4 linked regions of the Tamandua tetradactyla genome follow. Each later gene encodes a partner of the first gene's protein in a complex. Links are inferred from orthologs where the notes say so. Each region holds a gene or a part of one and is shown in the gene's direction. Other genes may lie near its edges. The genes, in order: SF3A1, HTATSF1, DDX46 and SF3B4.

Region 1 (6,896 bases):
AGGTTCATTGGAGTGCCAGCTTCCTTTCTCCAATGCAGAAACCGGACTGAAGCAGCTGTTTAGTTCCTGGGAATGGAGAGTGAGAGGGCAGTCAGGGAGGGCTTCCTGGGGGCCAGGAGCAGGCTGTCCAGAAGGTGAAGGGGAGGGTGTTCCAGGCTAGAAGAATGGGGTGATGGGAGACCCTTGTCTTGAGGCTGAGCACAGAGGACATGCTTCAGCCAGGTGAGCTTTGACTGAAGGGCCTACTCCGTGCCAATCCCTGAATGCTTACAACAAGCAAAAGAAGGCGGGGTTATTGGCTCCTTCACAAATGAGGAGGCTGAGGCCCCAGGAAGTTATGGGGCTAGCCCAAGGTCACTCAGGAAGCTGGGATTCTGAGTCCAGTATCTCTGTTCTTAGTCCATGCAGCTTCTAGAGCAGCACTATCGAAAGAAATATAATGTGAGCTATGGGTGAACTTTTTTAAAACATTTTTTACTATGAAACATAACAAATATACAGAAAAGTAATAAACTTCTAAGTACAAGTTATAGAACAAATTTCAAGTGGTTCCAGTTCCACAATTTCAAGTATTTCCTTCTGGCTGTTCTAATACACTAGAAACTACAAAGAAATCTCTATATAATGATTTAGTAATCACAATCCTTTGTTAAATCTCAATTCTCTGTTATTAACTCCTCCCTCTCATTTGATCATTCCCCTGATTTTCAGGGATATTTTGGCAAAGATCATTCTAACTTCTTCATGTTGAAAAGGGATGTCGAACCTTATGGGGTAGGGGATGCAAATGGTTGATATTCCGGGAGAGGCTGGTACCTCTAGGTTTCAGGCACAGGAACAATTGGGAGGTTTTATGTTTCTGAAAAATAAATTTAATAAGTAAAACTTTTATAGAGTCATAGATAGAATCTTGGGTTTTCTTTACGGTTTTCAGGAATACTCTTGGTTGGGTCTTGGGACACCATGGAAATTTATAACATCTGGCTGAAGCTTGTATAAGAGTAACCTCCAGAACGACTTCTCAACTCTATTTAAAATCTCTTATATAGGCGGGGTTTTAAATTTTCTACTAGCCACATTAAAAAAATAAAAAGAAAACAGGTAAGTTAATTTTGATGGTGCATTCTAGTTAACTTAATAACCAATAAAGCATTATCATTTCAACATGAAATCAATAAAAAATTATTAAGGAGATAATTCACATTCTTTTTTTGTACTGTCTCACTGACAGCATATCTCAATTCAAGCCAGCAACCATTTCAAATTTCCCATAGCCACACAGGTCAGCAGCTAACATATTGGACACTGCAAGTGTATATGAGATTCATATTCATTCAGCAAGCATTGCCTGAGTACCTACTACATGCTGGAAACTAGGGATGAAGCAGGTACATGGAGCTTTGGCCTCAAAGAGATACCATCTCTGTCTGAGGGTCCTGCTGTAGCAAGTCTTGGGTCTATGAGCTCCATAGGCTCCATCACCAAGGAAGGGAAATGCATATCCACCCCATAGCACACATGAACATACTCTCCTATAGCACCGGCCTACACCCCACACACAGTGGTACTGGAGTGCTGACTTGGCGACAGCCTCTTGTGAGATACTGTTGCCCATAAGATTTCATGTCCCCCAAGGAGTGAAGTATAAGGAACAAACAGGAAAGAAAGAAAAAAAAAACAGACTGAAACGTTCTATGTTTCCTTCCTGGGATGTAGGAGGAAAGAGATAAATGAAGCAAGCAGAAGGTCCCAATCTAGATGGAGGCGTATTCAGGTGCCAAGCACCTGGACTCATGGAGCTTCCTCATGGAAGACACCATTTTGTTCCACCTTCAAATAACTTCAGCTGCCATCCGGGGCCAATTGCAATACCAACTTCCATTAGATTTCAGTTCAGAGAAGCAGCATCAGTAGATGCAAAGCATCAAGAAGAATATACAAGAGGAAAATCTAACATTGAAAAATATACAAGGTAATTATATGGTTTCTTCTGAAAACTGGGGCTATGCAAATATAAGACTGGTTTGAGAATCACTTAGGTGTGTGTCAAGTGAGGGAGCATTTGACACGGTCTTTCTCTCTACCTGGGCCTGGAGTATAACTTTCAGCCCCAAACTGCCAACCATGCACTGTCCATGTGATGGCACAGAGGATGGACGCTTATGGAGTCAGCACTGCCACTAGGTAGGCAGAGCAGCTGACTCTGTCTCTCCTCGGGTTCAAGGTTGGCTTTTGCCTACCAGAGAACAGTAGGAGCTGTTCCCTCTTAGCCTACCCCCAGTGGTAAAGATTATGCCTCCCTCCTGGTCCAGTAGGCACACTAAGATTCAAGATCACCACCTTGAAAACACTTTGGATATGGACAGATGAGTAAAAAATATATATAAATAACATGGGGTGGATAATGGGTAAAAAAAAAATTGAGTAGATTGAAATCTCAGTGGTCGATGAAAGGGAGGAGTAAAGCTTATGGGATGTATGAGTTTTTTCTTTTTATTTCTTCTTCTGGAGTGATGCAAATGTTCTAAAAATTATGGTGATGAGTAACAATACGTGATGATATTGTGATCCACTGATTGTATACTTTGGATGAACTGTGCATGTGTGAAGACATCTCAATAAAAATATTTTTAAAAATGCAACTAATTGTTGAGGTATGCTTTGAAATGTATTGCTTTTTTGTATTATGTCATTTTGCAAAATAAAAAAAATTAAAAAAATAAACCTTGGAAACCCAAAAACCATCTAAATGGCAGTTAATCCATCTCAGACCCAGGGATTCTAATTGCCTGGATCCCTGGAGACACGGAAAGGAACTTGTGATGAAAACTGAATAGCTAACTGCACTACCAGAAGGGCCTGGGTTTGGAGCTCCATTCTGCCAACTCTGAACTTCACTGACCTCATCTGTGAACAGGTTGCTCTGAAGAATAAATGATACAATGCACGGAGTGTTTCCAACAGGTTCTGGCTCAGGGTAAATGCTCAATAAGTCCTAACTACCGTTATCATTCTACATCGACGACACAAGCCGAGTGTGTGTGTGTGTGTGTGTGTGTGTGTGTGTGTGTGTGTGCGCGCGCGCGCGCGCGCGTTCAAGAGGAAGCAGGTGTGGGAGAGCACCGCTTTCTATCAATAGGTGGAAAAAGTGAAGCTCAAGCACTGGCTTGGCAACCCCTCCCCACGCTCTGGAGCTAGGAGGGAGGGGAAAGGGGACAGGGATGAGGGCACTTGAGAAGGAAGCCGGGAGGGCGGGATTTGAGTGTGCCACAAGGGAGTGAGGGGCGGGGTATGCAGGGACGCACCAGTAGTTGTGATGGGGGCGGGGGGGGGGTGTCTAACGCAACCAAGAGACGGTCCAGTGGGGCCTGAGGGTGGGGCTATGGAAGGAAGAGGATTGAACCCAGAAAAGACAGGCCCGTGGGAATTAAGGGTGTGGGGGACTTGGAATAGGGTTGGGAGGAGCTGGAGGAGACGGACTTGAAGCGAATGAGGTGGTTAAGGGAAATGGGACTCTGAGAAGTGCCTGAGCGTAAGGGAGGGGACTCTCCAAAGTGAGAGGTCAATGGGAAGGGGCCTTGGGAGGCGGGGTCTAGGGAGAAGGAAACTGGCCTGAGACTAAAGGAGGGGGACCAGGGCCCCGGGGTGAGTGCCGGGGACATCCAGCGGGGTGCTGTAGAATATCTCACCCCTCTCGGAAGTCGCAGCCTCAGCCTGTGTCTGGCCGGCTCATGGAACTGCCCCCGGCGCGCCTGCGGCTTCCCTGGATGCGCAGCAACCCCTAGCCTGGCACCCGGACTGCTGCCATGGCAACGGCGTAGCGCGCGAGCTCGGCCCGAGGGGATGGGACCGGAACCTGGTGGGCGTGTCAGGAAGTGCGTCAGCCTTGCCTCCTCGGAGACGACCTGCTCGGCCGCCGCCATCTTGCTAGCTCGTCGTCCCGTCCGTGCGGGGATTCTGTTTTGACGCCACACTGTTCATCGACATCGAGGCGGACTGGCAGCCCTCAGCGTCGCAGTCATGCCGGCCGGACCCGTGCAGGCGGTGCCTCCTCCGCCGCCCGTGGCCGCCGAGCCCAAACAGGTACCGCGCCCCCCGCACCTCGATCGACAACCCGAGCCTAGGCCTGGACCCTCCCCTCCAGCGCGGGTTCTCCTCACTCATGCAGGAAGAAGCTGCCGCTGTGGAGGGCTTGGAGGGACTGCAAGTCCCAGGAGGCAGCGCGCTTCCTGCGCCGCGCTGCCTTCTGGTAGCGAAGAGGCCTCTTCTGAACGGTCATTGTCAAAGTGTGGCCCGCGGACTATCGGCCTCATCACCTGGGAGCTTGTTAGAAATGCCGAATCTCCGGCCCCTCCCCAGACCTTCTGAATAAGAATCTGTATTTTAACTAGGTTCCAAGGTGATTCATATGCACATTAAAGTTTGAGAAACACTGACCCAACCCCTGTCCCGGTTTTCTGCCCCTAGCTTTGCCCAGTAATTTCTGAGTTTCCAGCCTGCATAGTCCACATTTGAGTGTTAATTCTCAGCATCTCCTTGGTGTTTATTCTAAGCCAGCCGTCATGCCAACCTCCAAAGTTGCTGGAATGAAAGAAGCACAACCGCTGCCTTAGAAAACTCACCGACTAATGGAGGCAGACAGGCATGAATACTCAACAGATATTTGTCCCCATCTCGAAAATGATACGGTTCAGGCCGAACTTTAAAAGGCTCTCGATCAGCTGAGGGGGAAAGTTGTGTGTAAATAATTGTAGCGTGGAGTGATATACTGGGTAATGGAAGTATGTGGCCGGTATGAGAAGGTTATTTAATCGACATTGCTTTGATGGGGAGGTTAAAGTAGTGAAAGTTCATAGGAGTGTGAAATAAGTTGCTTTTAGAAGGATACATAAGAATTCACTGTGTAGATGATTGGGAAAGGGAAATACAATTTTTCATTCATTCAGCAAACAGTTGTTGCACACGTACTATATGCTGACCACTGCTTTCAGTTCAGAATACAACTGAAACACAACAGAAGAAGTCTATGCCTTTGGCATAAATAATTAAGTGCCTCTATGTCCCAGGCATTTTCCCAGGCACTGGGAAAGAATAAACAAGATAATATCTGATAACGATAAGCACAGAGGCACTTTGGAAGTGAGGTAGGAAGCAGATGATGCCTCTGGTCAAGAGTAAATCTAAGTTTTGTTGGAGCATAGGATGGGAAAGAGGAAGGTGGTGGTAGGAGATGGTATTCAGAGGATTTGACCTTTTTTCTTGTAGACAAGGGGTGAATAGGAAGGGTTTTAAGCAGGATAGTGACAAATTTGTGTTTTAGAAATTCAGATATTGGTGTGGAGAATTGCTAAGATGACAGAAGACAGTCCTTTTTTTTTAACTGCTGAAGACTTGGCTTAGATTTTGAGGAAGGGGGACGGGCAATCCCTTGTCACAGAGTACTCTTTCCAAATTCTGGCTCTGCCATTTGGGCCAATTAAGCTTTCCATGCCTCAGTTTGGTCACCTGTAAATGGGAAGTATAAGAACGCCTCCCTCATAGGCTGCTTATAAAGGTTACAAGAGTTAATGTATTTAAAATACTTAAGCATTGGGGACCTATTTTTGTGCCTAATAAATGTTAGCCGTTGTTATCCTTAGGGATTAGATGAGGAGGCTGACAAAGGGAGAGAAAGCCCAAGTGTCTGGCCAGGCCATTCAAAAGGAAAGGGTCCAGTGATGAAAGTGCTTAGGAGTCAGTTGGATTGAAAGCTCTGTGGCATGTAACTGCGATCTGGGCTAGGAGATTGCTTTGGGGGGATTGTTCAGCCTAGGTGTGATAGGGGAAATAGAAGATGTGGTTTGCTGACGACAGCAGGAATTCCATGAAGAGAACCAAGAACAAAATTTGGAGTCTTCAAAATTTAGAGGGCGGGAGGTGAAACAGGAGCCAGGAAGGAAACTTGGATAGGATGGGTGTTCTAGTTTGCAAGCTGCTGGAATGTGATATACCAGAAACAGAACGGCTTTTTAAAAGGGGAATTTATTAAGCTGCTAGTTTACAGTTCTAAGGCTGTGGAAATGTCAGATTAAGGCAAGGCTATGAAGATGTCCAGATTAAGGCACCAACAAGAGGTTACCTTCACTCAAAGAAGGCTGATGAAGTTCGGGGTTTCTATCTCAGCTGGAAGGACACGTGGCAAAGTCAGTTAGCTTTCTTTTCCTGCTTCATGTTTCAAGAAACTCTCCCGGGGGGTGTTTTCCTTTTTCACTGCCAAAGGTTTCTGGCTGCGTGGGCTCTGTGGCTCTTACACTTTTTCCAAAATGGTTCCCTCTTAAAAGGATCCGGTAAACAACCCTGAATAAGTGGTGACACAACTCCATGGAAACCATCTAATCAAAAGTTACCACCCACAATTGGGTGGGTCACATCTCCATGGATAATCAAAAAGCCCACCCAGTGATACTGAATGAGAATTAAAGGACCTGGCTTTTCTGGGGTACACAAAAAATTCAAACCAGCACAGATGGTCAGAAAGTAAAAAGGAAAGATGGGAAAAAATGGGGTCTGGGAGTTGAGTGGAGAGCTTTGCAAAGGAGTGATCACTGGTCAAATGCCCAGATAACTGTTATTTTTGGTTGAAGGCAGTTGTTTTTGACTTTGGTAAGAGCATGTGAAATGGATGGGGACCAAATGGGAGGTCAGGAAGTAGGAATGGCAAGACTGAGAGAACTCAGGATGTTTAGCTACCAGAGGAAGGGCAGGGGAAAGCTAGTAGCAGAAATGAACACAAAGGGAGGGGAGAAACTTATTTTTCTAAGATGAGGGACTTGACCCTTTATTTACGAAAAGGAAGCTAGTTGGGAAAGTATTAGGAATTTTTGGGTCACTTAATATGGATATTCCAATAGAGTCTC
Region 2 (7,063 bases), on another chromosome or scaffold:
TAATACCTAGGTGTGCAGTCGTTATCATATCATCTTCCTGCTCAACTCTATTAACCCAATGTGTGCCTAAGTCCCGTAGGAGTATGGCCTAATCTGCCCTTGGAAATCAGATGGAAGGTTCTGATTTTCTATCCTTAGCTCCTACTTGCTAACACTATAAGCTTCTTAATGATTATTTCAAACAACTATTGTCAACAGACATGTCAGACTTAGATTTGTGTTACTTTCAGAAAGTGTTTTGTTGGGGCAAATTAAAGCATACACTTGGTATAATTGTTAATACTGTATTTTTAAAAACTTGATTGTTGGGCGTGCTTTTGGTAGTTTTGCGTTTTAAATGGCTTGTGTAACTGTGAACTTTCGTTAATCCTGTGGCTCAAAAGGGGGATATATATTAACACTAGACTTTAAATTTCTGTAAAACTGGTTTACTTAAAGTGGAGGTGCCTATATTGTATTATTATTGTTTCAAAATGGACACTGTAATAAGTGGGGGGAGAGGGACAAAATAAATATGAAATAAAGTTTTGAATGACTTTCTGTAACTTTCTATTCTAAAAACAATACTTCTGAAAGAATATAACTGACCACCCATTTTAGTTTCAAAATTCAAATTATATTCGAGTCACAGTATGCAAAAATATATTCATTATTTTCCTCACTCAGAGTAAAAGTGTACATCTTCATTCCCCTAGGTGTGACATTTTAGAAATAAAAGCTTGATAATACCAGATTACAAAAGCCAAGACAACCTTTTAGCAGCTGATAAAAATGGAGCTCAAAGAACTTTCTTCATTCTCAGTGTTCCCTAAGTGACTTAGGGATCTGATTTAAAATAATTCCCTAAGTGATTTTATAGGGCATCAGCTTCCCATCCAAAGTTGGGGGGTCGCATTTAAAATTCATGGTTTTGTTTTGTCGATTTTGGGGGAATGGGGTTGGTTGGGTTTTTGTTGTTGTTCTTGTTTTTAACAGATTATCCTTGTCAGGGCTAACCTTGCAAACAGGCTCCAATCTACAAAATTTCTTTTACATTGCCTATTGTGGCACCATTTCCCTGGAGAAGGTCCTAAATGGAGAAGACGTGGGCTTCATGAGAAACAAATTTAATGTGCTTCTCAGTTTTGCTCAAGGTCTTCCCTGACCCAAGGCTTTGAATAATGGAACATAATAATACACTACAAAGCATGAAAACAAGGTCACAAAGTTAGGTATAATCAATTCGTTCAGTGAGCCAGTCCCTAACATTGAACTTGAAAGCATTGCAAAACATTTACCACTGACATACATGCTGAGAATAGCAAATTTAGGTTTAAATACTTTGTGCAGTTTTAACCATTTTAGGTCAAGGGTCCTCCAAATTTTTTGTTTCAGAAGGAGTTACTTTCATTTCCACTAAATTTTGGGATTACAGGAAGTGGGGACAGAAAAATTCCTGAACAGAATGGGCTTAACAGCACCACTAAAAAAAAAAGTCTAGTTTGGTAAGTTCAGTAATTTCCCAGAGACAGTTCCTAGGCCAGATAGGTGATTTTTTCAACCAGCCGTCTCTGCTTTTGTAGATTAATGCATTTTTTTATCCACCAAGAAGGCTGTAGCCTACAGGACTGGAGTACCACACAAATCACCCTTGAAAACTTAGAGAAAAAAGAAGAAAGCAGATATTCAGAGAAAAGCAGACTGTCTGGGTTTCAATTTGTTCCTCTTCCTGGGTCCAGTAGCCCCTTGAAGAGGCCAATCTACATTCCAGTCTTTGAGTTTCAGCTCCCCTCTCAGCCGCCCCCCTCCCCACCTCGCCTTTTGCTTGTTAACCTTGAATACTTCTCAGACTTGGAGAAAAATGTTGAGAAAGAAAGGTTGCAAAGACAGATTACATCACTTACTAGGGAGTTATTCTACAATACACAGGGAAATAAGAACAAACAGGAACCACGCCACAAAATGCTAACGTTAGAAATGCAACTGTCAGTTCTCATTGCCATACAGAACGTCATTGCAGGTACAAGTGTACTTAGTTCCCAACCCCACTGCCCTGTTACTATGGGGTCTCAGTGACCCTCTGTTGTTGCTTTGACTTTTCCTCTCACTTCTAGGGGAAATTCTGAACAGCAGGCCTCCTGTACTCATTTCAGCCTTCCCTGTGGGTATCTCAGCTTCTGTGCTACCCTGACAACATCCCTCTCCGTATGTTTCATGCTCAAACTCCCTGAGAGAGAACCGTATTGGCTCAGTCAAATATAGCCTAGAATGCAGAGCTACCCAGCTAGATGAACTCACAGGCCCCTAGCCAGCCCTTGGGCTATGGCAGCTGGGTTACATGGGAACTAGGCATATGGAACCTTTTTGGCTACCTGCTGAGAACGGGGCTGTGGGCACAGCACGCACTCAGAGCTTCACGTGCAGTAGAGCTATGCACAATATCAGCACCTACCATTAAACTCAGGAATGAAATGGGAGCCCAATAACACATTGCTGAAAACAGCTGTATACTATTTTTGAATCCAGGAAGAAATATTTAGCAATGTTTAAATGAGTCTAACAAACCTCGTGTTATCTATATAATAAAAATGTATGCAAACAGGAATTTTATGAAAAAGAAATATAATTGAAAAAATCAAACTGCTAGTTTAAAACTTTGCTATGGTTGAAACCATAGATTCACACGACTGTTATATGCAGGGATGCAGGATTTTCTAGAATCCACACTCAGCTGTTATGTTTAGAAGCAAAGGTCAGTGGAATACTAGAAATAATTTCTTCTGGGAAGACTTTCCTCACCCTCAAGTCTGGGTTATATTTATGCTTACACACAATGGGTTTATTATTATTTTTAAATGAATCAATAGATATTTAAAAAATGTTTTCAGCAAACATTGACAAATACAATCCACATAAACAAAATCTCTCTGGGGTCCTCAATAGTTTTTTAGTGTAAAGGGGTTCTGAGATGAAAATTTTGAGAAACGCTGTTCTCCAGCGTCTGGTACTTTCAAGATAACATTTACCAACCAACATAAGCCTGTCTTCCCTAAGCAGTGCCCGTCCTGTTAACCCCTGGGTCCCCAGGGGCGAGTCAGGTGCCTGGCGCCTCGTACGAGTTCAGTAACTATTTGCCCAATTAAAAATTCGTATTTGCACCACTTAAGATGGGCTCACCATTTTCAGGGGGAAAAAAGGTTGTTTAGAGCAAAGCGTACTGCGTCTTTCTAAAAGAAAGCCAAAATTACAGTTGGCTACTAAAGCTGATACTGACGCTTGGATGTTCGTTCAAGTTTCATGTTTTGGCCCTGAGCACTCCTGAATCCTGGAGAACAAGATACAAGCAACTGCAGCCCCGCCTCAGTTTCCCAGAGTTTATCTCCAGCAGGAAAAAGGTAAGATCAGATAAAGGAGGTGACTGAGAAGTGGAAAGGAGGTTGGTCCTTCCACCCATCGTTCATTCGTTCATTCACTCACTCGACATGGATTAGGCACCAATACCCTGGCGCTAGGCGCCTGGAATACCAAGATGACAAGAGCAGGCGCCTAGGCTGGGGAAATAATAAATAAATAAAAGACACGACTAGGTGGGAGGGAAAGGCCTCTGGGCGAAAGGGTTACGATTTTTTCCCACTGCGAAAGTAGCCGGTCCTGCCCGCCCCGCCCACTTCTCCAAGATGGCGCCCGCCTAGGAGGAATATTCCCACGCCTTCTGGGAACCACGCGAGCCGACCCACCCGGCAGCCGGCTGAGATTCCGAGGTCTTGCGGGAGCCGCGCGGCCACCCCCGGCCCAGAGGCGGGCCCAGTGGGCGTCCACGCGCGGGCGCAGCGCACTCCCTGGCGCCCCGCCCCCCCGCGCCCAAGACCCCACGCCGTGCCCGCACGCCTGCGCGTCGGCGCATGTGGACGCCGCCTGGGGGCGTGTCGGCGCGAACCGCGACGTCGCGACGCGCCCACAATGGCGACTGCGTCAGGCTGAGCGGGGCCCCGTTTTGAAGCAATTTCCTGACGTTGCCGCGGGAGCCGCGGTCGCCTCAGACCCGCTCCGTGGCGGCAGCGGCGGCGGCGGTGGCGCGCGCGCGCTTCCGCCGCGCCCTGGACAGAGCCGCGGCGCCGAGGCCCGGCGGAGTGAACCAGGTGGGCGGCGGCGTGACCGAGCTGGGAGCATCAGCGCGCGCGGGCTGGAGGCCGGGCAGAGCTGGGGGCGGCGCGGCCACCTAGGGGGCACCCGTCTCCCGGGGGCTGCTGGGCGCCGGGGGCGGGGTGGGGCGGCCGTGCGCGGGCCACCGGGGCGGACCTCTCTTTCTCTACTAGCCTCCAGCGTCATCTCGCTTCGCGGCCTCTTCACTCGCTTGGACCCTGCCGCTGGGCTAGGTAGGAAACATGAGCGGCAACAACTTGGATGGGAACGACGAGTTTGATGAGCAGTTGCGAATGCAAGAATTGTACGGGGACAGCAAGGACGGCAGTAACCAAGAAGATCCTGGCGAAGAAACTGAGGCTTGCGAGCAGCAGCCGGCCGACACCCCCTACGAGTGGGATTTGGACAAGAAGGCTTGGTTCCCCAAGGTAATAAAGTGGCACCGGCGCCACTGCAGAGTGGGCCCGCCTGGCCAGCCTTACGGGGCACTTCTTTTACATTTTCTTTACTGAGTGAGAACTTTGGTTTTAGCCCCCGTGGATAGTGACGTTTCGTTTTGTTGTTGTCTATTGCAGAACCGATGTGTAGAGGAACGTAATCTTTAGGGAAATGTCTTAAATGTAATTAAATCTCTTCTCTGCCTTACTAATTTTATCGGTGGAGGTCACAGTTGGTTACTACATCCGTGACTGCTTTTTATTGCAAAGAGGAAAAATACCAAGAACAGATACAGTAGCTGTTCATCTCTCGTTGCTACCCTCACTTATCCTGGGAATTCACATTTTTAGTTTATGTACCATGCGCAAAATGCAATTCTTGATTTAAGGAAAAAGATAGCCGTTTATGTATCTTTATTGATTGGACTGTCTGCACCGCTCTTTTCTACTAAATTTGGCCCCTAGGTTTGGACTCTCTGATGCATGTAACTGCAGAACTGTGACAAGAGATGCACAGAATATGGATGGCAAAGATCTGTCTATATGTGTTTGGAATACTTGGAAATTATTAGGTGTTTTATTTAAGCTTGGAAGAAAAATACTAGTCTTCAGCTTGATTCTGTAAGCATGGCGGTGAAAGTACTATGTTAACCTGAGTCTCATGGGTAGGAAAAAAAAAATAGAAATAGCACTCTGGCAAGCCAATAATAAAAAACATGTCTCCATTGTGTAATTTGACTTATTTAATAAAATTTATTTAAATTTTTTTTCTTTTCCATTTTGTATTTGTGTATATGTACCGATTTTTACCAACTGTTAAATTACTTTTTCACTTCTATACTGATAGTGCTGGCTGGAGTGCAGATGTGGTTTTTTCAGCCTTCTGAGAAGTACTTTTTTTTAAATGCGTAGGCAGGTACCGGGAATCGAACCCGGGTCTCTGGCATGGCAGGCAAGAATTCTGCCACTGAGCCACTGTTGCACTGCTCTGAGTAGTACTTTTAACAGTAATCTGATAATGAATTAATTTGTAACTCTATCTTTGGTATTTTATGCTATGAAAGCCTGTATCTTTTCAAACTTTGAGTTTAAATTTTCCCTATTCCTTTGTGTGCCTAACATTGACTGGTATGAAGATACAAGTACAATTCTTTCATTGTGTTTTTATATCCCCTAAAGGCACGGTACATAGATGTGAGTTGGGTTTGTCCTTAATTTATTCTGCCGCTAAATGATAATGTGATTTAATTAGTGATAGAGTTAAAGTGAGCATATAGTTTTGCAATTGTTAGTTTTATTTCTATTCATTGAATCAGGATTCCAGTCTACGTGCTTTCTGCATACAAATATTTAAATACTTAGAATATACATGTATTTGTGCATCTTTATAGTAACATAAATTGATTTTATGGTTAGATTATTAGTTGTCTCTCGATTTTTATCCTATTGTTATCTGGTACTTCATTATATGTACTTGTAGCTTTGTTTAAGTAGATGTTCTAATTTATAAATGAAACAATATTAAAGGTATTAACTTCACTTAAAAGTATCTTAATGTTTTCTCACATGCTTGTTTTTGCTATCCAAGGGCCTGTGCCTTATTTTTTTTCAGTTTATGCAGTTTCCCTATATAAGATGACAAATTTTGCATTTATACTTTAAGTGTCACAGAAACACTTCTATGTTAATTTGTATAACTGAATATGCTGTGATTTAATATAGTTTAGACTTTGTGTGGGAGGAAGTAATTTTGCATTTCTTATGTGTATGTGCTGAATCTCTTGTTCAGATTACTGAAGATTTCATTGCAACATATCAGGCCAATTATGGCTTCTCTAATAATGGCGCCTCTAGCTCTACTGCAACTGTACAAGATATGAGTGCTAGGACTGCAGAGGAACCTTCACAAAAAAAGGCCCCTGAACCCACTGATCCCAAAAAGAGGGGAGAAAAAAGAAAGGCTGATTCAGGCAAGTGTTTCTAGTTTGCAAAAAAACATGAGTTTCAAAGTAAAAATGTACATGTATATATAGTTAATTTTTGGGAGAATTTGTGGTAGCTTTGAAGGAATAATAAGAAGTGTTGTTTTTTTTAAGATAGCGTCATGATCCAGCCCCTTCCAACATGAAAAAGTTAGAAGGGCCGTAGCCCAAATATACTCCTAAAGAGAGGAATAGAAAGATGAAAGTTGATGGTGGAGTTACACAGAGAAGTTAGGATTTTCTAAATGAATATGATTGCTGAATTATTAAATTGATATGACTTTTAGTCACCATTATGTTAGAGCAGCTAGAAGTAAAAACCTCAAATTTTGGAATTGTAACCCATACCAAACTCTGAAATATGTTCTACAGCTAATGTGGCAGTGTACTTTGAATTTTATTACTTTTTTGTATTTATGTTATTTTTCACAAAACAGAAAAAAAGTTTGATTGTCATGATAAAAAAATATATTTATTCCTTCTAGCCTCCTGTATTCTGGAAAAATCCTTTCTGGGAGGATT
Region 3 (7,565 bases), on another chromosome or scaffold:
AGGTAGTATTGTGCTGTCCATTTCTGAGTTTTTATATTCAGTCCTGTTGCACAATCTGTATCCCTTCAGCTCCAATTACCCAATATCTCACCCTATTTCTATCTCCTGATGGTCTCTGTTACCAAGGAAATATTCCAAATTTATTCACTAATGTCAGTTCATATCAGTGAGTCCATACAGTATTTGTCCTTTTATTTCTTGCTAATCACATTCAGCATAATGTCCTTTAGGTCCATTCATGTTGTTACATACTTCATAACTTTATTCTGTCTTACAGCTGCATAATATTCCATCTTATGTAAATATCACAGTTTGTTTAGTCAACTGTCTGTTGATGGACATTTTGGCTGTTTCCATCTCTTGGTAATTGTTAATAATGCTGCTATAAACATTGGTGTGTAAATGTCCATTTGTGTCCTTGGCCTTGTGTCCTTTGAGTAGAGACAGCGTGTAGATGGGTCCTGTTTTTTAATCCATTCTGCCAGACTATGTCTTTTGATTGGGGAGTTTAATCCATTAACATTCAGTGTTATTACTGCATGGGTAGTACTTTCTTCTACTATTTTGCCTTCTGGATTTTATATGTCATATCTAAGTTTCCTTCTTTTTACCTTTAATCATAGTCTTCCTTTCTACACTCTTCTGCACACCTCTCTCTTGTGTCTTCGTATCTGTCTCTAGTGTTCCCTTTAGGATTTCTTGCAGAGCTGGTCTCTTGGTCACAGATTCTCTCAGTGATTTTTTGTCTGAAAATGTTTTAATTTCTCCCTCATTTTTGAAGGACAATTTTGCTGGATATAGAATTCTTGGTTGGCAGTTTTTTTCTTTTAATAATTTAAATATATTATCCCACTGTCTTCTCGTCTCCATGGTTTCTGCTGAGAGATGTGCGCATAGTCTTATTGGGCTTCCCTTGTATGTGATGGATTGCTTTTCTCTTGCTGCTTGCAAGATCCTCTCTTTCTCTTTGACCTCTGACATTCTGATTATTAAATGTCTTGGAGTATGTCTATTTGGATCTATTCTGTTTGGGGTACGCCGCACTTCTTGGATCTGTAATTTTAAGTCTTTCATAAGAGTTGGGAAATTTTCAGTAATAATTTCCTCCATTAGTTTTTCTCCTCCTTTTCCCTTCTCTTCTCCTTCTGGGACACCCACAACACGTATATTAGTGCGCTTCATATTGTCTTTCAATTCCCTGAGTCCCTGCTCATATTTTTCCAATTTTTTTCCTATAGTTTCTGTTTCTTGTCGGATTTCAGATGTTCCGTCCTCCAGTTTTGAAATCCTATGTTCTGTCTCTCGAAATCTACCATTGTAGGTTTCCATAGTTTTTTTTTCATCTCTTTTACTGTGTCTTTCATTCCCATAAGTTATGTGATTTGTTTTTTCAGACTTTCAGTTTCTTCTTTTTGTTCTTTCCTTGCCTTCTTTATATCCTCCCTCAATTCATTGATTTGGTTTTTGATGAGGTTTTCCATGTCTGTTCATACATTCTGAATTGGTTGTTTCAGCTCCTGTATGTCATTTGAATTGTTGGTTTGTTCCTTTGACTGGGCCATATCTTCAATTATCCTAATGTGATTTGTTATTTTTTGCTGGTGTCTAGGCATTTAACTACCTTAATTAGTTTATTCTGGAGATTGCTTTCACATCTTTTATCTAGGGTTTTCTTACTGAATGAATTTCTTGTCTATCTGTTCCTTGACATTCTGTTCAGCTTTATCTGGACCTCTAGCTCAAGTTTTGTTTAACAGAGGAGAATTTTTCAGTTCTTGTTTTCTTGTTTCTTGCCCTGCTTGTGTGGTGCCTTTCCCCCACACACGCTTAGGAGGGTCTACTTAGATATTATAGACCCCAGCCAGATTTTCCCAGACCAAACTGGCCTCCTATCAGGAGGAAAGAGTCACCTGCATCGGTTTTCCCTGAGGGTGAGACCCAGCAGGTTGAAAGACTTTCCTGTGAAGTCTCTGAACTGTGTTTTTCTTATCCTGCCCTGTGTGTGGCGCTTGTCTGACTGCAGATCCCACCAGCATAAGATGATGCGGTGCCTTTAACTTTGGCAGACTCTCCCTGCTGGGGGCATGGTGGAGACACAGGAGAGGTTGTAGGCTGGTTTTAATGACTTCAAATTACCAAGCCCTGGTGTCTGAATTCCTTGATGGAGGTATTCCACCTGAGTTGGGCTTCACCCCTCCCCTGGGGAAGGCATAGGCTCCAGATATGCCCCCCAAAGCAGTTGCAGCCTGAAAAGTCCTGCCACTGTATCCAGAGGCAGTCAAGCCTTTGTAGATACACAGTCACAAAAACCTCTGTTTCCTTCTTTTTTCCCCCCTTTTCTGTCAGTCCTGCCCCCTTGACGCTGGGGCAAAAATGAGCAACCTCTGCTTTGATCAGGTTCACCGAAGCTGGGGGCCTATTTTTAGGAGTCAAAATTTGTTAATTAGTTCCACAATTGGTGTTTGATTGTGCCCAGTCCCTGCTGCTGGTAAAGTCCTTTCCTTTCCCCTCTGGGAAGCGGCCTGTGTGGGAAGGGCGCTGGCCGCCGCAGGTTTGGGACCTCACGGTTCTGGAGGGTGCTCACGGCTGGTCCAGCTGGTCCAGACTGGGGTACACTGTGTGTCCGGTTACTATCGTGGCTCCGGGAACTGTTCTGTACTGTTTCTGGTTATTTAGTAGTTGTTCTGGAGGACGAACTAAAACGCGCACATTGTTAAGCCGCCATCTTGACCCGGAAGACTCCAGTATTTTCACTTTTAAAATAATGAGCTTTCCAGTTGGACCATTAATTCTGTGGTTCTATGCAATATTCTAAACAATATTTAAATTGTGTCAAATTCAAAAGTTAAAGACCTTATTTCCCATTTACCCTGCATGGTCCCATCCAGTTCCATAGCTCCAAGCATTACATATTATATATCCTATAAAATGCTGATGACTCTTAATCGCTCTAACCTCTATTTCTCCCTAGAGCTCCAGATTCATATATTCCCTTAACTAGCCATTATTTCTTTCTGGATATCTAATAGGCATCTCAAACATCATATGACTGAAACAGAATCACCAATTTTGTTTCTTTACTCCTTCAAATCCGCTCCCATGATGAAACTCAAATCCGTTTCATCTCCATAACATTATTGCAATCCACAATAGCTTGGCTCAAAATCTGGGAGTTATTTTTTTTCCCTGTCTTCCCTCACAGCTCACAGCAAATTTATCAGCTTGTTTTGAGGGTTTCCTCTGTAACATATTCAAATCTGACTTTTTTACTGTCTCCACTGTTTAAACCACTATTGGCTTCCTATTTCTCTTGGAATGCAATCCATCCTTCTTAACTTCATCCCACAGTCAAGCAATTGTCAATTGTTTTCAATTTACAGTGCCTTGGATACCTGACCCTCTTTAGTGTCCATCCTGTCACACATTAGTTCCAGACTTCTTTACTCAAGTCTCCACCTCTTTTCAACGCTACTGCCTGCTGTCAGAGGTGAACAGTATGCCTTAGGGAAATAGTGGGTAGGTAGTTTTGGAGTCCCACTTGTTTCATTTTTTTTTTTTAATCAACTTTACAGAAGTAAAATTTACATAAATAAAATGTGCCAATTTAAAGACTACAGTTTAATGAATAAAGAAAATATTGTGATAACATACAACATAAAACTTCCTGTTTTAACCCCTTTCAAGAGTTCAGTGGATTTTGACAAATGTATACTTTTGTGCAACTTCTACCACAATCAAGATACAGAATGTTCCTATCACCCTTAGGTGTAAGAGAGTAAAATAGTGCAGAGGCATGTAAAGTAAAAGTGACAGCCTCTCCCCAACTCCATTACGGTTTTCTGCAAAACAGCTGTCAACGACTTGATGTGTTCTACTACGCCAGTTCTCAACCTTGGCTGTACTTTAGAAGACTCGTGAAGCCTAGAAATTCCCATTGCTCAAGAAGCACTCCAGACTAATTAAATCAGAATATCAGGATAGAACCCAGGTATCCACAAAAATTTAAAAAAGGTTCCCAGTGCAGCCATTTTGAGAACTTTTACAACTCTGCTGGTGTAGTTTTAGTTCTTTCTTTTCTCCACAAATGTAACTCTTCGTCTTCAAACCTCACGTCAGTGATCACTTCCTCAGAGAACTTTATTTTTTCCCTGAAGCCTTGTCTTCTGGCGGGCCTCTGCTTGCGGTATTATATCTGACTGTTTTCAGTAATGTGTCTTTTGTTGCCTACACTAGACTGTAATCTCCCCAAGCATCTAGCACATGCCTGGCATGTAACTGCTTGTAAATAAATGAATGAATATATAAACAAATGGGGAAAGTGAATGGAGACGTTTGGTAGCGTTATTTAGTGCAGAGTAAGATGTATGTCTGTGCAGGTCCTGGTACAGCAATTGGCGGCTTTATGGCGGAAATGGAGGAAAAACCCTTCCACATCCTGCCACGCGGAGGCGCAGCAATGCATCTTCGAACCAGCCCCAGGCTTCTACCAGAGCGCAGCGAGAAGCCGGCGAAGCCATTTTCTTTAGGGGCGCGGCTGCTACTCGGCCTCCTGACGACAGTGGCGCTGTGGAGAGGCAGCAGCTTCCGGTCGCTTTTCCCTTCCTTCTGCCCTCGGCGCCGACTCTTCCTGTCTTCTTTGGCCGCGCTGGAATGGACGCTGCCGCTGTGGCTGCTGCCATTCCTTAGTGTTGGTGCTTGCCCGCGTCCCTAGGGCAGCACAATTTTCCAGTGTGTCCCGTTTTCCTGCGCGCCGTCCCGAAGGGCGCCGGCTTTCCTGCGAGCGGCAGCATGGGCCGGGAGTCACGGTGAGATAGCGCGCCGAGCCGGACCGCGGCTTCTATTTGGTTTGGGGAAGAGGCGGGAGTTGAGGTCGCGGCGGGGCCGGGCCGGGCCGGCTCCCCACGTGCGGCCAGCGCGGTCCTGCGGCTAATGGAAGGGCTGATAGGGCTGGAGGCTCCTGGGTTGAGGGAATGGTTGTTCTTGGGCCGCCGCGATCCCACATCTTCCCTGCCTTACGGTCGGGTGATTCGAGCCTCGGGAACCGGAACAACCCTCCCGGGACATCAGTGATTGGCCTCCACATCCCGCCACTTCCACGCAGCCGACTTTGATCCCTTCAGACTGTGGTGATCCCAGTAGAATTTCTTTTCGCCTCCCGTTTGCAACATTTAGTTGGTGTCATCGCTCGGTATTTTAGTTCTGTGAGCGGGTGTAGTGTTCTCCTATGTCAGTTGAAACGAGCCTGTGGACAGATATTTTTACATCACCTACAACGCTCTGTATGTGACTAGGCTTTTATTGGGCTACGATAAATATTTATTGCGCGGTCATTTATTTTGCAAATAGATTTTTTTTTTTTTGTTACTTCCTTTCTATCCTTTTGAAACTATGGATTGGGAGATCTTATTAAAGCCATGAGACCATTTAAAAACTTTATATTGCTGATAACTGGTTCGGAACCTTGAAGTTTTTATTTTTAGGTGATTGCTGTGTATGTATTAGTGACTGAAGGAACCTTTATATCTAGGGACTGTGAGGGCTTATTTTTCCATGCTAACAGTAGATTATTGAGGTATAATCAACATTCAGGGAAATGTACAAAGCTAAAGAGTATAGTTTGTTGAAATTTAGTAGCATTTAAACCATATAACCATCACCTGATAGAAATAACGAGTATTTCCATAATGACAGAAAATCCCTTGACGGTCTTTTAAATCTTAGTGAAGGTATTAGCAGTCATCTGGCCACTCAGTCCTGAAACGTGGAAGTGATACTTATTTGACTCAACCTTCTCTCTCACTGCATAGGTCCAGTTGATTCTGCACCCGTTCTGCATTCCTCCTAACTGTGATTTAATTCAGGCCTTAATCAGGACCATTGCACCTGCCTCAAATTTTTTTTTTCCCTGAATTGATTATCTTTGATTTTTTTTTTAACGGCTGTAAAAATATTTTCCTTTTTAAAAATTTTTTGAAGTGAGATTCATGTAAGATAAAATTAACCACTTTAATATTAACAGTTCAGTGGCAATTGTTACGTTCACAGTATTGTGTAGCTACTGCATCTGTCTAGTTTCAAAGTATTTCTATCACTTCAAAATAAAACCCCATATTCATTAAGTAGTTTCTCCCCATTCTCTCCTACCCCTACCCCTAGCAACCACCAATCAGTGTTTTGTCTTTATGGATTTACCTACTCTGGATATTTCCTATGAATGGAATTATACCATATATGACTCTTTGGCATCTTTTATTTAGCATAATGTTTTGGAGATTCATTCATGTCATAGTATGTGTCAGTACTTCATTTCTTCAATCCATGTATATATTTACATTGTATGTATATTCCACAATTTGTCCATTTGTCTGTTGGTAGACATTTGAGCTCTTTCCACCTTTTGTTTGAGTATCTGTTTTCACTTCTTTTGGTTGTATACCTAGGAGTGAAATTGCTGGATCATGAAAATTCTGTTTAATTTTTGTGTTCCTCTTCCTCTGATCTTGATCTCCTGAGTTATAGAACCTTCACACTGCAACCAGAGTGACATTTCTAAAATGAAGATAAGATTATGCTGTTCCCCTGCTTAAAAATCTCTGTTAGTTTCCACTACTTCCAGAATGAAGTCCAAACTCTTTAGTAGTTCTTGAAGGGTCCTTCACAGGAACATCCCTTCTAGCCCTTTGGCCTTTTTCCCTACCTCTGCCTTGCATGGCCTCTGCTCTATAGGTGTGTTTCAGGGAATAATGGAAGGCTCAGAGTGGGAAAGAGCAGGATGTTAGAGAAATATTTAAGGAGCCCAGTTTCTCTCTATATATGTAGGTTGCATGAAGATTCAAGAGAAGTAGGAGGAGATAGGTTCTGAATGGAATTTGGGCCCAGACTGTGGAAGATGGGTTTGGATTGTAGGTTTAGTTTAGAATCTAAGACTGCTTGGGAGCCTTTGAAGATTTTCAGTAAGAAATGTGTATATGTGATATGTGTGTGTGTTTAACAGAATCTGCTTTAGCAGCAATGAGTAAGACAGATTTAAGGGAAAAGAGAACAGAACAGAAAAACCAGGAGTCATTTAAAATATTCTAAGTAGATTAGCCTCCTGATAAGGACTAACGGCAGTGGACTAGAAATAAGATGCAAGAAATTGTGGAGGTGAAATTAGTTATACTTAGAGTTTCATTGGTTGTATAGAATGAAAGAAGAGAAAAATATTGAAGATAATGTTTTGAGCCTATGTGATTGGAAGTTGGGATGATAAATGATTTGGGTTTCTATACATTAAATTTGATGTGCTTGAGGGATAATCAGGTGTATTCTTTCCCTTGTGTTCTTATCCAGGCTTATAGCTTTAAATATACTGATGTACACTGATGATTATTTCCCAATTCATTTCTCTGGCCCAAACCTCTTCTCTGAATTCCAGACTCCTATTTCAAGTACCTACTCTACATCACCATTTGGATACCTAAATCTTGATTTCCCACCCACTTACCCTCAAGTCTGCACCTCCCTCAGTCTTCCCATGTTAATAAATGGTATCTTTATCTTTGCAGTTGCTCCAGCCAGATATC
Region 4 (7,013 bases), on another chromosome or scaffold:
GGAGACCCAGAAGGCTCCCTTGTCTCCTTCTAGTGTAAGCTTTCTCCTTTGGAGTTACTGTGAAGTACCTATGAGTTCTCTCACCCTTCAGTGCTACCTCCACCCTCCCACTATAGCTGTGTTCCCTAACACTAGGATTCCTGGCCCCTCCGCTCCCTCCTTTTATCAGTGGATGGTTAGGGTGGGAAGGGCAATGTGGAAGTTAAAGAACTGTGATTCTGCTTCCAGCTTGTGAAGCTGGATTTTTCTAATGGGGTGGAGTCTATGAAGTGAGTTATTCAAGGTCTTTATTTTCATTTTCTTTTCACTTCTTCTATGTGCCCTCTCAATCCTGCTTACCCACAACTTTTCACCTCTGTGCCTCTCATTTCTCCTTGCCATGTTTCCTCTTCTCATTCTCTCCTGCCCTAGTTTCTTGGTCCTGCTTCTTTGCCCCTTCTCCCTTTTTTATCACCCAGAGCGCGGTGATCGTGATTTCAATGGCCTCCTCTCTTCACTCGTCCAGCTGCTTTCAGTCCCTGAAGCTCGAACACTGCTTGGCTTCCAATCACTAGTGCAACGAGAATGGGTGGCAGCTGGACACCCCTTCCTGACACGGCTTGGGAAAACTGGGGCCAGTGAGGAGGTGAGGATTTGGGGGGGGGGGTTCATTTGGGGGTACTATTAAAGAAGTAAGGGGATGAGAAAATTATAATCCATTGGAGGAAAATCAGATCACAAAGGTTCTAAGATTAAGCTCAGGCAGGAGGGAGACCCAGATGACTGAGGCTCCACAATCCCCTACTACCCTCAATTCCGATTTCCATTCCCTGACCTTCTTAGTGCCCCTTGTTCCCTGTGTCCTCATCCTCCATCATTTTGCGATCTTGCCTCTTTAGGTCCGATTATTCCTTCCACACTCTCAATTTCTCTCTTCTCAGGCCCCAGTGTTTCTCCTCTTCCTTGATTGTGTCTGGCAGCTCCTCCAGCAGTTCCCAGCTGAGTTTGAATTCTCTGAGTTTTTCCTTCTTGCTCTTCATGACAGTGTCAGGGTTCCTGACACCCTGACTTTCCTGAGAGATACTCCCTGGGAACGTGGAAAGCAGGGTGGACAGGTAAGTGACTGACATTTTTGACTTGTCATTTTTTTACCCCATTGAGAATTACTCTCTGAAGTTGAGCCTTAGTTATTTTATAACAAGAGAAGTGAGGTCTGTCGGTGGGGAAGGGGAGGGTGATGTTCACTTAACAGACTGGATTTATGCCCTGCATCTGATTCCTGGCATAAGAGTTGGGTTTCATGATTTCTCTCTAGATTTGGGAGAGTTATATATTTTTTTGCTTAATCATCCTTTTCTTTTTTTTTTTTTTTTCAAACTTCCCCTGTCCAGTTCAACTCCTATACACAAGTCTACACCCCAGGATACTCCCAGCCCCCAGCTGGGAACTCTATTAACTCACAGCTGTCTGTCTGGGACTGGGATTTACGCTACAGCAATAAACAAATACTGCAATTCCAAAATCCTTGCTATGACCCAGAGTACCACCCAGATTCCTGGCTCCCCAGGCAGCAGGTGAGTCATCTAAATTTCCTGAATTCCTTTGACTTTCCCAGACTCATCCTAATAGGTAAGGAAGTGAGAAGATTCACTGAGTTCCCCTGAGGAAGTTATCCCACTCCTCCTCTACAGCTGTCATTTATGGCCCCTGACTGTTCCCAGGAAGACATAAACTCTAAAATATCATAGAGGACAGCCTTATTATCTTTGTCCTCATCTTTGATTTAATCTTCCTCTTATCCACAAATTTTACAAGTTTCTCTAAAAATCAACTTCAGTCATCTCTGAGGCCTAGTTTGAAGCTTAATGAGGAGAGTAAATAGAGTTCTCAGGGGACGATTTGTAGTTTCAATCGCTAGTGCAGTGAGAGGGGCAGCTCAACACCTCTTCCTGACTCAGTTTGGGGAAACTGAGTCAGGAAGGGGCCATAGAAACTGAACCTATAGAAACTGGATCATTTGGTTTCTAGGTTACCAATTGTTTTCCCTTTCCCCTGTAGTCAAGTTTCATGGTTCCTGGACCTCCAAGTTCTGTATGGCTTTTCTCTAGAGGGGCCCTGACACCCCTGAATCAGCTCTGTCCTTGGCGGGACAGTCCTTTCCTGCTGGCAGTCTCTTCTCGTTGGCTCCCTCGACCTGCTATCTCTTCTGAAAGCCTAGCAGACCAGGAGTGGGGTCTCCCCTCACATTGGGGGGCTTGCCCTTTGCCCCCTGGGCTGCTGCGCCCTGGATATCTGGGACCCCAGATCAGGCTATGGAGACGCTGCTACCTGAGGGGACGGCCTGAGATCCAGGTGAGAAAAGAAGATAGCAATTGGGAGTGGGAGAAAGGGCTTGACTACGGGACTAGATGAACAGGAGCTGGAAAGGCAAAGAGCTGGGGTGGAGTGGAAAGTGAAGTACCGTTCCTGCTGGTATCAAACTGGGCAGGTCTGGGAGTGTAGGGTGTGGGAACACTGCTGTGGCTTAGATAAAATAGAGCCTTAGGGCTCTGTTGGCAGAGAAAAGAGAATTAAAGATAGCAGAAGCGGACAGGTCTTAGAAACAGAGTGTGTAGAGCTGCAATATTTCTCTCTGTCCCTTTGCCCTCTCCCCAGGTTGGCCTCTCAGCCCCCACAGTCTGTGGCCTCCAGGATGAGCTATCTCATCTTCAGGAGCTATTAAAAAAGTGGACACCAAGAATATCTCCTGAGGATCACTCCAAGAAAAAAGAACCAAATTCCATTCTCACCCAATCCCATTGAAATTGCTGACTCTCTCACAGGTAGGACACAGCGAGGTCCAGGATGAGGGAAGGGTTCTGCCTAATCCCTCAGTTTGTCTTATCTGATTTTGGGCTTCAGTTTCCACACTCCAGCCCTTTAAAAAGCCAGTAGTGTCAAGTTTTTATTGCAGGTGGGTGGTGCTAGCCTTCTCCAACTCTTATTCTGCCCTGTTTGATTCCTAAAGACTTAGTTTTTATTTCTTGTCATTTGAGAAACTGAAAAGTAAAAACAAAAACTATCAAAGCAATACAGAAGGTGATTTCTGTTTTCAAGGCCAGTCTACCCCTCTGGGATAGCCAGCCCTTAAACTGACAGATCAGAGATGCTACTCAGTCCCAACAAGATGGCCTAGAGATCTCATTGCTACCCCCTCTTGCTTCCTCTTTAATTCCAATTACTATTTCTTTTTTTTTTTTTTTTTACAGTTTTCCATGGGAATGGGAGATACCCTGCCACCTCGAACTGTTTATATTTGTAGTGACATTTCTATTTAGGGAATTCATTAAAGCACCGTATTTATACACATTGCTGGAATTGTTTTGTTTGAACAGGTAGCAAACAGTGGTGGGTGGAGGGTGGGTGTGACTCGGGGGAGGAAGGGACTCACCATATTATCGCTAAGGAAAAAGAGAACCGGATCAGGTGAGGCTCTGCAGAATTCCTATGCTACTGAGGAAAATGGTTTTCTTCTCCGTGCCTTAGGGGCAGGTGGAGCTAGAGCCTGGAACTAATAAAGATGCTGTTACTGGGGCCCGGGCTTCGTCACGCCCCATCACTGAGCCTCAGGTTGGCCAAGAACGACACTCCCACCTCAGAATTTTGCAGTCCCCTCCTCTGAGGGAAAACGAAATACTTCAAGCCCAAGCCGGGACTGTGCGAAGGTTGCCTTCGCGTCCTTGGGTTGGTGGGGGTTCCGCAACACACCCTCTTCTGGGGAACGGATCTGGCCCCAACATATATGAAAAGGCTTGTTTCTTTAGATTTCGTATTTACATTTTCAGGGAACAGTTTAACCCTTTAACGCCTGGCACAACCTCAACTGGGTCTGGACATCCCGGTTTTGGTCATCCGGGAACCGACGCTCGCAGCGCCTCGCAGCGGCACCTGGCGCACGACAGAGAACACGAGCGAGACCACAACTCTCAGCGGCTCCTAAGATGGCCGCGGCCGCTTCCGGCCCCTCCGCTGTGGCCCCGCCCGCCGCCTCGCATCACGTCCGCCTCCGCCCCGGAAGTGGAAGTGGTGGGGGTCAAAGGGCGGGGCCAGTGTTTGGAGACAGCAGGAGCGCCTTCGCCATGGCGGCCGGGCCTATTTCTGAGCGGAACCAGGGTGACTGGAGGGGACGATCCCGAAATGGAGCGAGCGGGGCTGGATAGCCCCGACGTGGGCCAGCAGGGGTTCCGCCGGGGCGGATGATTTGTTACCCCCGGAGGGCGCGGGGCCGAACGCCAGGCCTGCTGGGGGGCGGGGGGTCGGCCGGGTGCCGCTTGGGGCCGGTAGGCACGAAGCCTTGTATGTCCGTCTATTCCGCTGCTGACTTTGTTTGCATCTAAGAAACAGCACACGTACACGTAGAATTTTCAGCAGAACACAAGTTTGATTTCAGAAGATTCTCTCAGTCCTGGGAAGAAGAAGGTTTAAGGTTTAATCTAACTCTAACATGATTTTTCTTTTTCCTTCTGTTGCCTTTTTGCTCCTATCCCCCAACCCCATTCCCAATCCCTCTGCCTTGATTCTATCGCATGTTCCTGTCACCCCATTTCCTGTCATTCTCACGCCCCCACCCTAATCTCCAGATGCCACTGTGTACGTGGGGGGCCTGGATGAGAAGGTTAGCGAACCGCTGCTATGGGAGCTGTTTCTCCAGGCAGGGCCAGTGGTCAACACCCATATGCCAAAGGATAGAGTCACTGGCCAGCACCAAGGTGAGTTACAAGGAAAAAGATGCTGGGAACAGACCGCCCCTGGCAACACTATAAACACTGTTTTGGGATGAACAGCCTGAAGATTCCTTTTCCTTTTTGTTCCTGGAAGCTTTTCATTGAAGTGAGATTTTTATTTTCTTTTTTGTTCTTTGTGCCTTGGGGTGGGGTGAGTTACATCTCATTTTGAATCTCTTCTCTTCAGTAGTTAACCTCTCTTCTTTTAAACTCCTCAGGCTATGGCTTTGTGGAATTCTTGAGTGAGGAAGATGCTGACTATGCTATTAAGATCATGAACATGATCAAACTCTATGGAAAGCCAATACGGGTCAACAAGGCATCAGCTCACAATAAAAACCTGGATGTAGGAGCCAACATTTTCATTGGGAACCTGGACCCAGAGATTGATGAGAAGCTCCTTTATGATACGTTCAGCGCCTTTGGGGTTATCTTGCAAACCCCCAAGATCATGAGGGACCCTGATACAGGCAACTCCAAGGGTTATGCCTTTATTAATTTTGCTTCATTTGATGCTTCGGATGCTGCAATTGAGGCCATGAATGGGCAGTACCTCTGTAACCGCCCTATCACTGTGTCCTATGCTTTCAAGAAGGACTCTAAGGGTGAACGCCATGGCTCAGCAGCTGAACGACTTCTGGCAGCCCAGAACCCACTATCCCAGGCTGACCGCCCTCACCAGCTGTTTGCAGATGCACCCCCTCCACCCTCTGCCCCCAATCCTGTGGTATCATCATTGGGGTCTGGGCTTCCTCCACCAGGTAAAGTTTTTTTTGTTTTTAAATTAGGAATAATTGTAGGTTTATAAAATAATCAAGCATTAAATACAGGATTCCCATAAAATTCCCCTATTATTAACACCATGCCTTGGTATGGTACATTTGTTACAATTGATGAAAGCTCATTTTTATAATTGTATTATTTACTAAAATCTGTAGTTTGACTTAGGGTTCACTGTGTTGGGCAATTCACTAGGTAAAGTTTTTCATTGAAAATATGTTTGGTGAGGTGTGGGGCACAAGGGAAAAGAATTGGAGAAAGGGAGACGGTGAGTCAGTGGGTGATTAGAAGGGAATTGGGGGTGATGGGTGTGGTGAGGAATTTCTTTACAACTTTCATTGCTGGATTCCTCTAGAAGGTTGAAGTTGTTTGAATCTAATGCTCCGTCTGACTTTAGAGAGCTGGGTAGAGAGGAAAAGCAGTAAATGTGCCTAGAGAGGCCAGCTTAGGGCATTCTCTCCCTACTACCATTTTTACCCTACTACCATTAACTCTTTTTTTTTTTTCCATTTCCTTTACAGGCATGCCTCCTCCTGGCTCCTTCCCACCCCCAGTACCACCTCCTGGAGCCCTTCCACCCGGAATACCGCCAGCCATGCCCCCACCACCTATGCCTCCTGGAGCTGGAGGACATGGCCCTCCATCAGCAGGAACCCCAGGGGCTGGGCATCCTGGCCATGGACACTCACATCCCCACCCATTCCCGCCAGGTGGGATGCCCCATCCAGGTAGGTATTCTCTGCTGGGAAAGGGAGGGATGATCTTGGCAGAGGTGTGCTATTTCTCTGTCACCACTCTTGTAACTGCCCTCTGTCCCTCAGAGCACTCCTTGTCTTTTATTTTATAAAAACATCACTCCTTGTCTTTTATTTTATAAAAACTTCATTCTGTTTGCCTTAACAACTACCATCCTAAAATTACCAAATCTTGGCGACTTTTCTGCTCCTTATCTGACTTGACCTCTGCTGTATTTGAAATTGGCCATGTCCTCCTGTTTGAAATTCTTGTCACTTTTGACTTCTGTTTTTCTGGATTTTCTATCTGTCTGTCTGACTCCTCAATCTCAGCCACTTTAAATAGGCTCCTTTTTCTTTGCATGTACCTAGGTTTTTATCCTTGGTTTTCTTTTTCTCCACATTTCCATAGTTTCGATTACTTACTCACCGATGCCTCCTAGATCTTCATCTGTATTCCATGGTTGTTGACACACTGCAGCCCCTGATCTTCTTGCTGCTTCCTGAACAGCTCTACTCTTCTATCCCTTGGGCTCCTCCACCCAAACATGATGAAAACTGAGCTTATTTTCTCCACCTCCCCTTCAAACCTACTCTTCCTCTAGCATGATTTGTTTTCAGATGTTTAATTCAGAAACCTGGGAGTCATGTTTGCCTATTTCCTATCACTCTGCTCTTAATATCAAGTCTTGTTAATATCTCTGGCATCTACCCCCACTGCCAGTAATCTAGTCCAGGCCCTCATTATTTCATACCA

What was found.
Region 2: SF3A1 (region 1) and HTATSF1 share a complex: the UniProt entries of both Homo sapiens proteins name them as parts of the 17S U2 SnRNP complex. The link is inferred for Tamandua tetradactyla from reciprocal best matches to the Homo sapiens genes SF3A1 and HTATSF1.
Region 3: SF3A1 (region 1) and DDX46 share a complex: the UniProt entries of both Homo sapiens proteins name them as parts of the 17S U2 SnRNP complex. The link is inferred for Tamandua tetradactyla from reciprocal best matches to the Homo sapiens genes SF3A1 and DDX46.
Region 4: SF3A1 (region 1) and SF3B4 share a complex: the UniProt entries of both Homo sapiens proteins name them as parts of the 17S U2 SnRNP complex. The link is inferred for Tamandua tetradactyla from reciprocal best matches to the Homo sapiens genes SF3A1 and SF3B4.

The regions. Positions count from the first base shown.
Region 1 is NC_135331.1:32,556,053-32,562,948, forward strand, and holds the start of SF3A1 (splicing factor 3A subunit 1), read left to right. Parts: upstream 1-3,879; 5' UTR 3,880-4,020; coding exon 4,021-4,083; exon of another isoform or gene 4,084-4,175; intron 4,176-6,896. UniProt on the Homo sapiens protein: Component of the 17S U2 SnRNP complex of the spliceosome, a large ribonucleoprotein complex that removes introns from transcribed pre-mRNAs.
Region 2 is NC_135353.1:22,881,489-22,888,551, reverse strand, and holds the start of HTATSF1 (17S U2 SnRNP complex component HTATSF1), read left to right. Parts: upstream 1-4,047; 5' UTR 4,048-4,118; intron 4,119-4,295; 5' UTR 4,296-4,364; coding exon 4,365-4,550; intron 4,551-6,348; coding exon 6,349-6,529; intron 6,530-7,063. UniProt on the Homo sapiens protein: Component of the 17S U2 SnRNP complex of the spliceosome, a large ribonucleoprotein complex that removes introns from transcribed pre-mRNAs.
Region 3 is NC_135346.1:13,854,021-13,861,585, forward strand, and holds the start of DDX46 (putative ATP-dependent RNA helicase DDX46), read left to right. Parts: upstream 1-4,562; 5' UTR 4,563-4,788; coding exon 4,789-4,805; intron 4,806-7,565. UniProt on the Homo sapiens protein: Component of the 17S U2 SnRNP complex of the spliceosome, a large ribonucleoprotein complex that removes introns from transcribed pre-mRNAs.
Region 4 is NC_135330.1:5,899,491-5,906,503, forward strand, and holds the start of SF3B4 (splicing factor 3B subunit 4), read left to right. Parts: upstream 1-4,007; 5' UTR 4,008-4,097; coding exon 4,098-4,131; intron 4,132-4,140; exon of another isoform or gene 4,141-4,444; intron 4,445-4,598; coding exon 4,599-4,727; intron 4,728-4,960; coding exon 4,961-5,503; intron 5,504-6,043; coding exon 6,044-6,250; intron 6,251-7,013. Other genes in the region: MTMR11 (myotubularin-related protein 11), read left to right, coding at 459-625, 921-1,094, 1,371-1,553, 2,038-2,331, 2,635-2,781. UniProt on the Homo sapiens protein: Component of the 17S U2 SnRNP complex of the spliceosome, a large ribonucleoprotein complex that removes introns from transcribed pre-mRNAs.